Drosophila melanogaster: one gene and its partners. The protein of the gene in region 1 interacts with the protein of each later gene in a pairwise test. Each region holds a gene or a part of one and is shown in the gene's direction. Other genes may lie near its edges.

Region 1 (3,979 bases):
AGCAAGAAAATCTTCTCTGTTACAATTTGACATAGCTAAAAACTGTACTAATCAAAATGAAAAATGTTTCTCTTGGGCGTAATCTCATACAATGATTACCCTTAAAGATCGAACATTTAAACAATAATATTTGATATGATATTTTCAATTTCTATGCTATGCCAAAGTGTCTGACATAATCAAACATTTGCGCATTCTTTGACCAAGAATAGTCAGCAAATTGTATTTTCAATCAATGCAGACCATTTGTTTCAGATTCGGAGATTTTTTGCTGCCAAACGGAATAACTATCATAGCTCACATTCTATTTACATCACTAAGAAGAGCATTGCAATCTGTTAGGCCTCAAGTTTAATTTTAAAATGCTGCACCTTTGATGTTGTCTCTTTAAGCTTTGTATTTTTAATTACGAAAATATATAAGAACTACTCTACTCGGGTAAATTGTGACTAACTACACATAACTACATACTTAGCCCATATTTCCGTCCCTTTCTAGAATGAACGAAAACAGTATCTGGTTTTCCCGAAAATCTTATGAATTTAAAAATGCACTTTATTGCACATACTCACACATGCCTGCCATAAAATATGATTCGCGATTTTTCCGCGAACACCCGCGGATCATAAAACATTTGCACCAGCTGCCTGTGTTTATTCACCTACCTGAAACCCATACTCTTATCGCCTGATCCTCGCGCGGTCGCACTATTTAGGTAGACACTGTACAGGCAGCACTCGCGGGGCGCCGCCAGGCAACTTGTTGCCCCTATTTTCTTTGATATAAGTTTTGGGAAATCCAGAAGTCCAATAACGGGGCCTATATGAACGAATATTGATTGGGTTTCTCCCAGTTATAGAGTTTTTATTGATCTTGGGCGCGTTTTAGTAGGTGGATTATGGATGTCCTGGGAAAACCAAGCTCTGAATCCATTCTTACTTATCACAAGACTTGTTTTCCTGTGCCCTTCATCACACCTAGTTTAACTACTATAATTAATAAACTACTTTTTAATCCGCCATTTATGAAGATAATTTATAGCATCTATGCATCTTTCAAATATCGCGAGATATCGCAAAGTATTCATAAATTAGTTTTTTATTGATATTGTAAAGCTTTTTAATTTGGTTCAGGTTTTTATTGTAAATACTTTTCACAATTGTGCACAGTGACCCATTAACATGGTTGCGATATTAACTTAAGACTTAAACAAGTTAATTAAGAGTTTTAGCACTTCTTTTCAAAAGATCATGTTTTAATTATGTTTTTAAATGAATCTTTTCGACAATTCTAAAAATATTATTTCGAAAATGTTAATTTTCATATATAACCTAAGTAAAGATATTTTCAACTGTACCTCACTCTCGCCGCGACATTTCCACACGGTTATCCTGTTATGACTTTTCCTTTGTTCCAACGTATTTTTAGCGAATTCTCGGAAGGAGAAAATCCGATAGCGCCAGTAATAAAATTTGCGAACAATTCCCTAGTTCGAGGACTGAGGATGGGAAGGCCTATGGACCGGAGACCCGAGACAGATTCGCATTCGCCGCGTCGGAGACTTGAGCATATACTCCTTGGAAACAAGCAGAGCCATAAACTGTCCAAATCGAGCATGAAACCCCGAGGAGCATCCTTTCTCACAGCGCTGCTTTCATTGCATTATGAGGATAATTGCGGACGGCGAGCGACCAAAAGCCGCGACAACAGCTTCGGTTTCACTTTCAGCGCCGCCACCGGAGGCTCTTTCAACAGGTGCTACAAGTTGGACAACAATCGCCTCGGATCTCCGATCATCATCAGCCCGTCTACCTGGCGAGACTCCGGCTCTTGCGGCCCAGGAACCCTGGAACTGTCTCTCACGCAACGCCAGATCCTGGCAGGATTTCGATCAAAACAAGCCTCTAGATTGCCCATTGCCAATGGCCGGGAGTCGTCGGACTTGGCTAGTCTCCGAGGTGCCAGTCGGGCAGTCCAGCGACGAAGGGATTTACGACTCGCGGCTTAGGCAAATTTTTTCGCAACGATGCGTCGGCGGAATTGACCTGTTATGTCGTCTACCTACAAGCCCTCCTATATAAGCATGATGTTTGCTTAGGACGACAGATCATTCCACTTTTGACAGCTCACTCGGCAGTACCAGAAAAAATATGTCATCCGTCATGCACTACTATCCAGTTCACCAGGCTAAAGTCGGCTCCTATTCAGCAGATCCTTCCGAGGTTAAATACAGTGATGTGAGTACTCAGATCAAAAATCGAATATCAGCAATAAACTAATTAGTTGTTTACCCGCTTTCAGTTGATCTATGGTCATCATCACGATGTTAACCCCATCGGTCTGCCTCCCAACTACAATCAGATGAACTCCAACCCCACCACCCTCAACGATCACTGCTCCCCGCAGCATGTGCATCAGCAGCATGTGTCATCGGACGAGAATCTGCCATCTCAGCCCAACCACGACTCGCAGAGGGTGAAGCTTAAGCGATCACGGACTGCCTTCACCAGTGTCCAACTGGTGGAACTTGAGAACGAGTTCAAGAGCAACATGTACTTGTACAGGACGCGCAGGATTGAGATTGCTCAGCGCTTGTCCCTGTGCGAACGCCAGGTGAAGATCTGGTTCCAGAACCGACGAATGAAGTTCAAGAAGGACATACAAGGTCACCGCGAGCCCAAGTCCAACGCCAAGTTGGCTCAACCCCAGGCTGAGCAGAGTGCCCACCGAGGCATAGTGAAGCGCCTCATGTCCTACTCCCAGGATCCCAGGGAGGGCACAGCGGCAGCAGAAAAGCGTCCTATGATGGCAGTGGCTCCTGTGAATCCAAAGCCAGACTATCAAGCCAGCCAGAAAATGAAGACCGAAGCATCAACCAACAACGGCATGTGCTCCAGCGCCGACCTCAGCGAGATCTTGGAGCATCTGGCTCAAACTACAGCTGCACCACAGGTCAGCACTGCCACATCTAGCACAGGAACATCTACCAACTCGGCTTCTAGCTCCTCTTCGGGCCACTATTCCTACAACGTGGATTTGGTTCTGCAGAGCATCAAGCAGGATTTGGAGGCAGCGGCCCAGGCTTGGTCCAAGTCTAAATCCGCGCCTATCCTGGCCACTCAATCCTGGCATCCCAGTTCCCAAAGTCAGGTCCCCACGAGCGTGCATGCGGCTCCCTCGATGAATCTGTCGTGGGGCGAGCCTGCTGCCAAGTCGAGAAAGCTGAGCGTTAATCACATGAACCCGTGCGTAACCTCCTACAATTATCCCAACTAATTTTGAGTTAAAAAAGTTATACTAAGTTTTACTATAAATTTTTGTTGGAGCTAAGCAACCGTCTCTGGCCCTTGGACGAAAAATTCTAACCGAACTCAGTGACAAAAGCCATGAATATTCTTAAATTATCGTGAAGTTTAACCATTTTTTTAATAGATATATTAAAATATGCCTCTGTATTGCAACCATAGTTAATAAACTAAAATTCAAATAATACAAAATGATATTTTCTTCACTTTAAAATAATTATTCGATCGATTTCTTAAATGACTCCTTGTTGCTTGCTGTACAACTTTTATAAAACTTTGCTTTAGTTACAATCCATTTAGTATCCTTAAGACCACTCCAATCCAAAGTGGACACTTGGCTTCTGAAAAGGAGAAACCAAGGAAAGAAAGGAGAGGAGAGGAGAGGGGTTAATTTTTAGCATTTAGCTAGTGTCCCAGTTGTCTTCGGTTTCACTTTTGCATTTAATGTCCCATTGCGGGCGACTTGAGGTCAAGTCGAGGAATTTCCATTGCATCGCCCATCTATTAGGGCCCAGAAAAGTGTCAACCGCATTAACTCGGACAGGTCCAGCCCCTTCCCCTTCTCCATTCCCATTCCCAATCCGGATTCGGATCCGGATCCAGGTTCAGTTTCAGTTACAGCGGGTTCCGTTGGTCATCTTGAGCGGCGGACATGGAGTGTTAGGATTTGATTT
Region 2 (5,589 bases), on another chromosome or scaffold:
TCGGGTGCCCAGTTAAACGTCTTCTACGAGGTGCTCAGCTCGGCCAACTACAAGGGTTCGATGACCAGCCTGCAGTCGGCATTCTCATCGAACTCGTCGGCGGCCAGCTCGGTGCAGAGTCGATGATATGAGAAAGCCGGGGATGGCGGAACGAACGGCGCCGAATGGAGATCCCCGGCATTGGAGGAGCCCATAGCGGCGGACATTCTCACGGGCACCCTGATGGAGAAGAGCCTGAATCTATTTGAAACGCCGGACGTATTCTTTTAAGACCGAAAGTGGTAATATCTTGTGTTTTAGTTGTCTTTAGTTGTTTAGCAGAATGTTAGTTTGATTTTAAATTGTATTTAGCTCAAATAGGCCATTTATTTCCTTTTAAATTTATTATATTCATTCAATATATACAAGCATTCATATTATTGATAATCTTAAGAAAATTAGAAATATCAGCGGTTTAAATGAGCAACACCAAAATATCACGCAACGTTTTATTTGAATCGTCAATTTGAATTTTTCGTAAGCAGCTCTATAAATGAAGTTTTAATGCGTACATATATATGTAAAAGCGACGTAATTTTTATAGCTTTTTCTAATGGAACATTTTTTAGCAACAATTAAGGAACTTATTGCGATTGCGCAGCCACTGAAACGAAAATAGAAAAAATTGAAATTGTAATCAATAACTACGTGTTACCTAATTAGTTTAATAAACAAATTGCCGAAATGGCTTATTGCAAGGATTTTAGCCAGAACTTATACAAAAGAGTGAAATGTAAGATTTGAACTCGAAATACACACGTAGGTTATAGCTAGACGTCAGATTATAATTATAAATGTAAAATTGTATTTTAAACATTCGAATGCAGAACGTTTTTGATTGCACACTAATTACCCCGTCATTTGTACGCCCTTAATTGCTAATATCAATCAATCTCCAAAGTGTTTTTAAAATCAAAAAAGGCAACTTCAGTGTGTTTTTTTGGTTATTATTTATTGTATTAAAAACGAATTACTATGCGGATGTTTACAATTTAGTTTTATAAATAATCTGACGTGTATTGTAAGAATAAACTGACAAGCCAATAACGAAGGAAAAATGAGTGCATGTTAACTAAGTGTGTAAGTTGTATTAAGAACGTAATCAAATAAATGCTATTAGATCAATTACATGTACATATTCGCATTTTATTGTGGGCTCTTGAAAAAAATAAACTATTCAACAGTTTTAATTAAAATCAAATTTAGAATCCATGAAAATTGTATGGTATGGATATGGATGCTCTTTTCATATTTTAAATGTGGATTGTAATGTTTTTATATATATTGTAATGTTTTTATATAACAAAATAGATAAAATTAGACCAGCAAATGACTCGTTTCTGATAGAAAGAATATTCAAATTACGCGCCAGACCTACTATTCCAGCCCTGGCTACCTTGAGAAGGTCTGGCAACGCCCCCGCTAAAACATTTTGTGAAAACATTGAATTGTGATATTAAAGAAAATTAAACATGAAATTTATGTATATTATGTATAATAATTAAATAATTATATTATATAATAATTAACAGAATTTAAAAAACTTCACATTTTGTATTTATATAACACCGTTCTTTCTCATGGCTTAAGTCACGTCAAACTATGTTATCTTCAATGGTGAAAAACTGGGTTAAAATTGTTTGTTTATCGCGCTTGTTGTTGGCTGATGGCTGATAGGAAATTAAAGCAATGTTTGTGGCCGCTAAAAGATTCGAATTTCGCAGGCAGCACCCACCACCACCTGCACGGGCCGCCCTAATCCCGCATTCTCCTAGGGCCCGTATCTTATCCGCGGCGGATGCAAACCACTAAAAGGCTACTTGGCCATGAAGTGCGGATAAGCGGATTCCTTCTTATCGCCGCTGGCCATTGGACATTGGCTATTTTACCAATAATAGTTACGAGTGCCTGGACTTTCAAGCATTTCGCGCCTAGCATTCGAAGCAGCCAGACCAGTCGCTAGAATCGAACTCCAACATGGTTGCATTGAGCACAAAGTAAGTACCCCTGCCCCACAGCCCCATCGCCTCGACTGACGACCACAACGTCCACCAATCCAACATTCCAACAAGAGCCAGTTCTCTGGGCAATGGCGAGCGGAGTAGGCGATGGCGATGGTGGTGACCAAAACGGTCTGAACTCATTACTAACCGCACTGGGCGACTATTACAGCGGCCGCCGGGAGGAGAAGGCTGCAGCCAACATCTACGATGACAAACGGATCTTTCCCGACTTCCGTAGCGGACCTTTGGAAGAGTACCGTGAGCGGGCTAGCTTCTGCTACAAGCGCATGAACGTGGTGCTCGAGGGCGAGGATCACATACGGCTGAAGGTTCGTTACCATTTCCAGTTTGTTACATATGTACATGGTCAGCGGGGTCGAAGTGCAGACTGCCTCGATAGCTTTTGTCGGAGCTGCAGGCCGCCAACCGCCCGGTCTAATCGTCGCCCGTTTCTTATCTGCACACTTGAGTAATTCGTTTACATGTCACTCCGTCTTTAGCACAAGGTGTGGCAATGGATGGAACAGCACCCCGACTACCAGCGGGAGCCAGGATCCGATTTGGAACGCACCCGCGAAATGGCCAACAAGCGGCAGCATCTTCTGTGGGAGCAACAGTTCTACGGCGTCAACGAGGTAGGATGCGTTGCGTACTCCTGAAAGTGTGGCTGCCTAAATCTCCTGTCTTTCTTTCAGTATCTTGGAACCCCACATCTTCTGCTTGCTTTCGGACAGGCCATCTTTAGCTACGATTTCAGCACTTCGGTCAAGTTCGGCCTTTCAACTGGCATGTTCCCCAGCACGCTGGTCTCCAACGGATCTGGCCGCCTGGGCAAGTACGTGGCCAAGATCGCGGACAACCGCATTTTGGGCGCCTACGCTCTCACTGAGATTTCTCACGGCACCAACGCGCTCGGCATGCGCACCCGTGCCACCTACGATGTGAAAAGGCAGGAGTTTATCATCCACACGCCAGACTTCGAGGCGGCCAAGTGTTGGGTCGGTAATCTAGGCAAGACTTGCACGCACGCAATCGTCTACGCCCAGCTGTACGTGCCGGATGACAAGCACCAGGGCCTGCAGGCCTTCCTTGTTCCCATTCGGGACGAGCGTACATTGCTTCCATTCCCCGGCGTAACCGTCGGCGATATGGGCGAAAAGATCGGTCTCAATGGCATTGATAACGGGCAAGTACTTTCTTCTATCAGTTGATAAAACTAATCAACAGCAACAGAAATAATTTCGATTTGTTTGGCATTGCAGATTTGTGATGTTCAACCAGTATCGTATCCCTAAGGCAAATCTGCTGTCCAAGACCGGTGACATCGATGCGCAGGGAAACTACACCAGTAAAATTAAGGACGAGCGTAAGCGCCTTGGCGCCTCCTTGGGTGCCCTCTCCGTGGGTCGCGTCAATATCACTGCTATCACGTATGTGGCCTTGAGCAAGGCTGTGACAATTGCCACTCGCTATGCGGCCAGCAGACGCCAGTTTGGCCCTACCAACAGCCCGGCGGAGTGGCCCGTGATCGAGTATCAGTCACAGCAATACCGACTAATTCCCCACTTGGCCACCACAATCGCCTTGCGGGTGGCCACACTCTGGATAGGCAAAGAGAACGTGGATTTGACCATGAAGGGCTTCACTGGCGAGGACACGTCGCAAGCGGGCATGGAGATCCATGCGATCTCATCGGCACTCAAACCAGTTGCCACTTGGGCTGCCAGGGATGGCATCCAGGTATGAATGCTTTATATATGTATATAACCACTTTTACTTATCGGTTATATTGTTTTAATCTCAGGAATGCCGCGAGGCCTGTGGCGGTCATGGCTATCTTAAATCTTCTGGCTTGGGCGAACTTCGCAACGACAACGATGCCAACTGCACCTATGAGGGCGAGAACAACACGCTCATCCAGCAAGCGTCCAATTGGTTGATCAGTCTGCAACGCAACAATGCCGACTTCGTGGCAGTTTCCCCATTGGAGACAGTCTCCTTCCTGAAGGATATGGACACAATTCTGCAAAGCAAGGGTCAGGAGCGAACTCCTGCCGAAGTTTTGGATCCGCTCAGTGAGTATTTCTTAGTTATCCAAATATAAGATAGGAATAACGCAATTTTATTGCACTTCTATAGATCTACTTAATGCCCTCAACTGGCTTACCGTCTGGCAACTGGATACGACGGTGAAACGAGTTGAGGAACAGCAGCGCGAAGGAAAGGATGCCTTTGAGACGAGGAACAACATCCAGGTCTTTGCCGCCCAGAAGCTCTCCATTATCTACGGCGAGGTGAGATGCCAACCCTCTAAACCCCAACTAAATAGTAAAATAACCAAGTTTAATATTCTTTTAGCGCACCATCTACTACGTGTTTTATAAGTTTGTAATTGGTCTGCCCGACTCTGCTGAGAAGAAGGTACTGCAGCAGGTGCTCTCCTTCTATGGCGCCCACTTGGTCACAAAGTACTCCGCTGCTTTCTACCGCGGTGGTTACTTCCGCGAAAACTCTAACCAACTGGAGCTGTACGAACAGGGCATTCTGGCTCTGCTTCCCCTGCTGAAGAACGAAGCCATTGCTCTGGTGGATGCCATTGCTCCCACAGACTTTATTCTAAACTCTCCTCTGGGCATGAGCGATGGAAACGTAAGTGGTCTACCATAAGCAACTGCTACTCTTACTAAAGATTCTATCCTTTCGCAGGTCTACCAGCATCTGCAGCGCACGCTTGTCTCCACTCCAGGTGTCTACGAGCGTCCTCATTGGTGGCGTGATGTTACCTACAAGGATTACCTTAAGCGCGCCAAATTGTAGACTCACTGTAAAATCCCAAATAAGAAGACTTTACTCGTTGAGTTTTTGTAAGAAACTGATTTTATTTGGAAATATCTTCGGTTTAAATAGGTGACATGAGAATCGCATCTTAAAGTAAATGGCCTACGCAGAGGCCTAAGTAAATAGTCCCCGCCTTATCGAGGTCCCACGCTCGGGCACATCTGCCTATCTTGAGCGGCGAGGACCTTATCTGTGGTCTCCCACTAAGGGACTATTTTAGGAGGCGGGGAACGATCTCAAGTGACTGACTCATGTAGTGTGCACTTAAATTACATGTTTTTGAGCAATGCACCCATGTCGCCTTAGATAACAAAATCCTAAATATAATTTATCGCTCTCGATTCATTTACATAAGATATGAACGGAGCCCAAAATTGTAAGTCTTTAAATATATTCGTGTTCATGTGTGAACATTCTGCCAAAGGGCCAGCAAGCTGAGATGTACATTAGTATATTAGTTGCATTTATAACAGTAGTGGACTGTATTTATTTGATATATGTTCATTTATTTTGCAACTAAGATTTCAATGGGCCTAGTTTTTCTGGCTTTTAATTTTATTGGATTACAATTATGGTTTATATTATTTTTAATTCAACAATTTGTACTCAATTAACTTATTTTAAACATTTTGCTTTTTCTATGTAGAAGTACATTTTCTATTAAACAACGATATAGTGGACTGTATATTTTTATTTGTTATATTATTTT
Region 3 (4,988 bases), on another chromosome or scaffold:
TAAATAAATTAGCAGATCTAAGGCCAATTTCAGGTAACTCAAATATAATGTGGTATAAATTTCCGCACAATATAAGCTGCATTGAATGAAAGCTTTCTTTATATTTAACTTACTAAATGAAGTATAAACAAATAAATAAAAATAGATTTTAAACTATGTTTTAGAATAATTTTTGATTAGATAATGTAAACATTTCCAGCTGATCAGCCATTTGTCTTGTCGACCTCTTGAAAAATTGAGAGTAGAGCAGGACCACAATTTACTGATGGAATTTTTACACAAGTTATTTATTTTGTTTCTATTGCTGGCCGCTTCATTCATGACGACTTCATTTACTTGACGAATGTGCCCGTGCAGGACGAAGGATCCACGCTGCTGGCTTTATTAATATTTATAAGTTGGACTCTCTAGCAGGAGCTTAGCCAAAGCCGCAATAATTCCCCCGACCACGCAATCAAAATCAACCCTCTTGGAAATTCCGATGGCTGGCTGGAGACAGCCACTTGGTTCGCTTAACATTTTCAATTTCAATCTAATCTAAATTACATGATATGCGCACAATTTGAACGCTAATGAGCAAGGAATTTGTGGTAAGATGGTGGCGGAGCAACGCTGCGTATGCGCAACATATTGCGTGTGAATTTTAATTAAAAACTTTTCTCACTTTCCAACCGAGATAATCTCTGTCCCACCGCCTTTTCCTCGAAATCTCCCACTGCGAATCGGATGTCCTTTCGTGTTGGCTGCTGTTGTTGCTGTTGCTTCGATTGCATCGATTTTCTGCTAACTTTGAACGGTATTTGAAAGGAGCTTAAGCTTGTTTCTTTTATTTGCGCTACCTTCGCGCGAAACCCGATTCCATGGGCAGCAAACAGGACCAGGTTGGCTAACAAATTCTTGGAGCTATTCAGCGGTTAGCGGTTGGGGTAAACAACTTCTATAATCACTGTAATGCGATCAAGCATAAAGATGGCTCTAGCTGACCGTTTATTTAGATGGGTAAACGGGTAATCCTATTTTTAGCCATGTTTATTAGACGAGAACAGCTTCTTTCACTAATGCGATTTAAAGAAAGCCTAATTTTTTAAAATAACTATACTTAATTAGTTGCAATCTCTTTCACATTTACATCACCCCTGCTAAGTAGAGGGTATGTGGTAGTCGAAGAACTCGTCTATAGCGCCCTCCCTGATTGTTGTAAAGTTGTAATAATAGTAATAAGTTAAAATATGTTGGTAGAGGATTTCAATGAGGTATTTTATTTCAATAAAATTCCGCTTAGAACATTCACCATTCGTTGCATTCCGTTCGCCCTCTAACCTGTTAACTTGGTTTTAATTTACACTTAATTACGTGCATTGCCGTGGCAAAAGTGCAACAGATTGCTTCGTGGATTGCTTCATTAATTGTCCTCTGTTGTGGCAACTACCATCCTGCCGCATCTCCCCTCTAATAACACATTACCAAGCTGCTGGTCCTGCTATTTAATGGCCTCACATGTGTCGGGAGATAGGGACAAAAATTAACCTTTGACCTGAATGTGTACGGTATCGCGTCACTTGGCTGTGCAAACAAATTGTTTCACGTCAAAAAGTTCCATTATTCGATTATGAGCCGGTCGAATAATACATTAGTAATGCAATTAATTAGTATATAAAGAATTCCGTATTCACACCGCCATCGGCACCAAATGATTAACTTCCATGGCAATTGTTTTGCTTAGGGCCCAACCACTTGCTTGATTCCCTTCCCATAACTGCTCTTTTCTGGCCAAGAGCACCTGCCCGCTCTTTGGAATTCCCAGTTGCTTTCTCTTCGTTTGCCCACGCAGCCGCATCAAGCTATTCCGAAAATAAAGCAGCCGACTTGTGGACGTTGCGTATACGCAGTGTTGTCGCCGCCGTTCGTTTGGAACCACTGTTCAGTCGCTAGCTGGACGTGATGTTGGCCGGAAGAGCAGCACGGCAAACAAATAAAGACTTAGCCAAAACAGCTGAACAATAGCTGAGCTGAACTGAACTCCAGGCCGTAACAAGTGTGGCAGTAGTTAGGTGTTCGTGCCGCTGAAACAACAAGTATCCAGCACAGTACTTTCTATTTCGGTTAGTCGGTCGGTCGGTTGGTCGTTTGGTCGGTTTGTCCGAGTGTGTGCGTGTTGGCCACCTAAGTCCTGGTGCGTGCGTGTGTGTGCGCGCTAACTGTGTTTTTGGATGCAAATCAAAGCGCAGCTCACCTGAAAAGTATGCTTTAAATTTTTACTATCGCCACTCCGCGTGTGTACTTGTAACTCTGAAAAGTTTCTGTTTCTGTGTTTATTTGACTACCGCGGCGCATTTACATAAGTAAACTTTGGCATGCGCGCGGCCTGCTGCCGCTGATGTAGATGTAACGACGTCGACGTTGGCACTGAATAATTAATGCAATCAAGCAATTTGAACCCGTTCCGCCGTGGAGTGTGCCTGGGCCAGTGCCACAACGGTTTCAACGTGACCATAATGAGAGCTCCCCAAGCTACAAGTCACTAAGTGTGCCCGAAAAGCCCAATAACACAAAGAGATAACCTGACCAAAATTCGCAACAAAAAAAAAAAAAAAATACAACACACAAGAAGCCTGAGGAACAAGGAGGGAATACACTATATTTTTCGACAGAACTATAGCTATACTATACCATATTAACAAGAGAGAGTCTACTATATATGTACTTACTTAGTGCTAACTGACCACGCATATTCCAATCATAAATTATCGTGATAAAAATTCTTAGGCGCTGAAAGCCAATTTCAATTTTCACCCAAAAACGATAGAAGAAGAAAAGCCCCTGAAAGAGAAGAGAGAGAGAGAGAGGGATATACGCTGTCTGCAGACCAACAAATTACTAATAATAATTTTTAGATTTAAACGACAACAAAAACGAGACTAACAAACATCTGCTGGCCACACAAGGAACGTATACAAATAAATGCGGGTATATAGCAAAATGTAGACAGCTTGGCAAATATATTTCGATTAAAATATATACCAAATTGAACTGGACAGAGCTTTGACACGAAAACCAAATCGTTTGCCAAGTGAATTTTATGAAATTCGCCTGATTATTGCGGCAACAATAGAGATAAGATTCGGAATCAGAGGAAAAGCGTTTAAGTGAATGGGAAAAAGCAGCCAACAGGTTGTCGACGACAGATAAGGCCAACATTTTCTCGAAATTGGTAAGTTGAAATCACAGCAGTGTAGAACGAATGAAAAATAATGAATGTGGCACTTCATTTCTACCACTTGGAAGGATAGTCTGATTTAGAAGTTTATTAAATGGTATGCTAAGTTTTGTCAATGATTTTATTTTGCTAAGAGCTTTGCCATCAACTAATAAAGGAGATTAAGCTTTGAAAACTTGATTGAAAATGAATTTGGGTTTCTGTGGAAGCTTAAGTTTTGCCAAAGTGAAAGAAACTACTGCAAGTTTTGAATAAACTAAATAATTTCTTTAGCAAAGTTAAAGTTTGACAAAAATCATTACAAACTAAAATGGTCATTTGGCTACTTTTAAAGCAATTTTCTTAATTGCATATATTTCGTGTTGGCAGAGTGCATTTAAAATTCTTTTTAAGTTTACTCACCTCACAATTCCCAAATCTGTATCCATTAATTAAGTGCAACTACTTACAGCTGAGAAATGTGATTAAAAGAATGCTATGCAGTTAAGAAATTAAAGTGTCATTGGTGACTTTCTTCACTCCTGCAAGTTCGTCGCTTTTTGCAAAGGTCCTGCGCACGGCTGCCCAATTCCTCCATCCATTATCCACGTAATCCCACTCGTCACGAGATTCCATCCGTCAAATCCCATTCCCGCCCAGCAGCAACATGTAAATGCTCCTGTAGTTCCGGAACATATGTGTACGAAATGAAAAGATCCCAAGGAGTAAACTGTAAACTGTAAAAATACTGACCATGTCGCAAAGTGCCATAAACAATTTTACAACATTTTTGCTGTCATAAGATTAAATGTGCATAAGCTGGAGGAGGGGCAAGGACAAGAAGAGCGCACTCCTCCGCAGGAGGATGAAAAAAAAAATGGAAAGTGCTAGGGAAAAAAAGGAGAAAGCTGTAGGAAAAGCTGGGCAATAGAGCACTGCGATGGGCGAAAGCGAAACAAAAGCAATAACTATAAAACAAACACGACAATTCGCTTCAACTTTGGGGCTACAAAAAATGGCTGAACACACACAGACAGAGGCAAACCGACTTTATGTGAAGAAAGAAAACAACGCTGAAGAACAACGGAGACTCACAGATACGAATACACTGGGTGAAAACTGAATGATTTAAATTACACAATAAAAGTATTGATTTAAGAGTGCTGGGCTCCGGTACACTGCAAGATAGGTTAGACAATGTAAACTTTAAAATATTTAAGATTTGGAAACTCCTTGGGGTTTAAAGGAATATTATATGGAGAGTATTTATGTTTTTCTCTGTAATATGTCTTGCATCGCTTTGGATTTTCTCACTTGAAGGACCCCACTTCGATTCCAGCACTTTTACTCGCGGTGTACACATACACAAGCCCATGTGCATTCATTCTGAGCTCCTTTTTTATGGCCGCTGGCGGTGGGTGTTCGTTGGTATGGTTTTGTTGAGGGTCGACTGGGCTATAAAGGTATGCAGCAGGCAGCAGACGACAGCATCCAATTACAAAGTGAATATTTCGAGACTTGTTGGTTTGACTCCCGCCTTTACGCTCGGGCAGCATATCTCGGTTTCCTTCCATGTTGACCTTAACATTTATTTCATCTGCTCTCTTCTCGGCTTTGTGTGGCAGCCTTAAAGTGACTTTCAAGTTTTTGGTACCGCCGTTACTGTCGCTGACCTGATTCTGATTTCTTCTTTAGTTGCACGAAAACGAGACCACCGAAAACACCGGGTCCATTCCCAAATGAAAACATTTTACGGGGAAGCCCCCACGGAGAGTGGTGTTAGTAGGAGGTC

The links.
Region 2: the proteins of zen (region 1) and Acox3 interact in a two-hybrid assay, tested with the Drosophila melanogaster proteins (one large-scale study listed by BioGRID).
Region 3: the proteins of zen (region 1) and Stacl interact in a two-hybrid assay, tested with the Drosophila melanogaster proteins (one large-scale study listed by BioGRID).

What each region holds. Positions count from the first base shown.
Region 1 is NT_033777.3:6,752,320-6,756,298, reverse strand, and holds zen (zerknullt), read left to right. Parts: upstream 1-2,104; 5' UTR 2,105-2,150; coding exon 2,151-2,237; intron 2,238-2,301; coding exon 2,302-3,276; 3' UTR 3,277-3,435; downstream 3,436-3,979. UniProt on the Drosophila melanogaster protein: Required for the differentiation of the dorsal-ventral pattern, and does not appear to be involved in the process of segmentation.
Region 2 is NT_033779.5:6,444,389-6,449,977, reverse strand, and holds Acox3 (Acyl-CoA oxidase 3), read left to right. Parts: upstream 1-2,115; 5' UTR 2,116-2,128; coding exon 2,129-2,371; intron 2,372-2,542; coding exon 2,543-2,677; intron 2,678-2,737; coding exon 2,738-3,228; intron 3,229-3,304; coding exon 3,305-3,782; intron 3,783-3,846; coding exon 3,847-4,117; intron 4,118-4,181; coding exon 4,182-4,336; intron 4,337-4,400; coding exon 4,401-4,691; intron 4,692-4,748; coding exon 4,749-4,859; 3' UTR 4,860-4,908; downstream 4,909-5,589. Other genes in the region: retm (real-time), read left to right, coding at 1-126.
Region 3 is NT_033778.4:15,399,173-15,404,160, forward strand, and holds the start of Stacl (Stac-like), read left to right. Parts: upstream 1-1,923; 5' UTR 1,924-3,211; intron 3,212-4,988.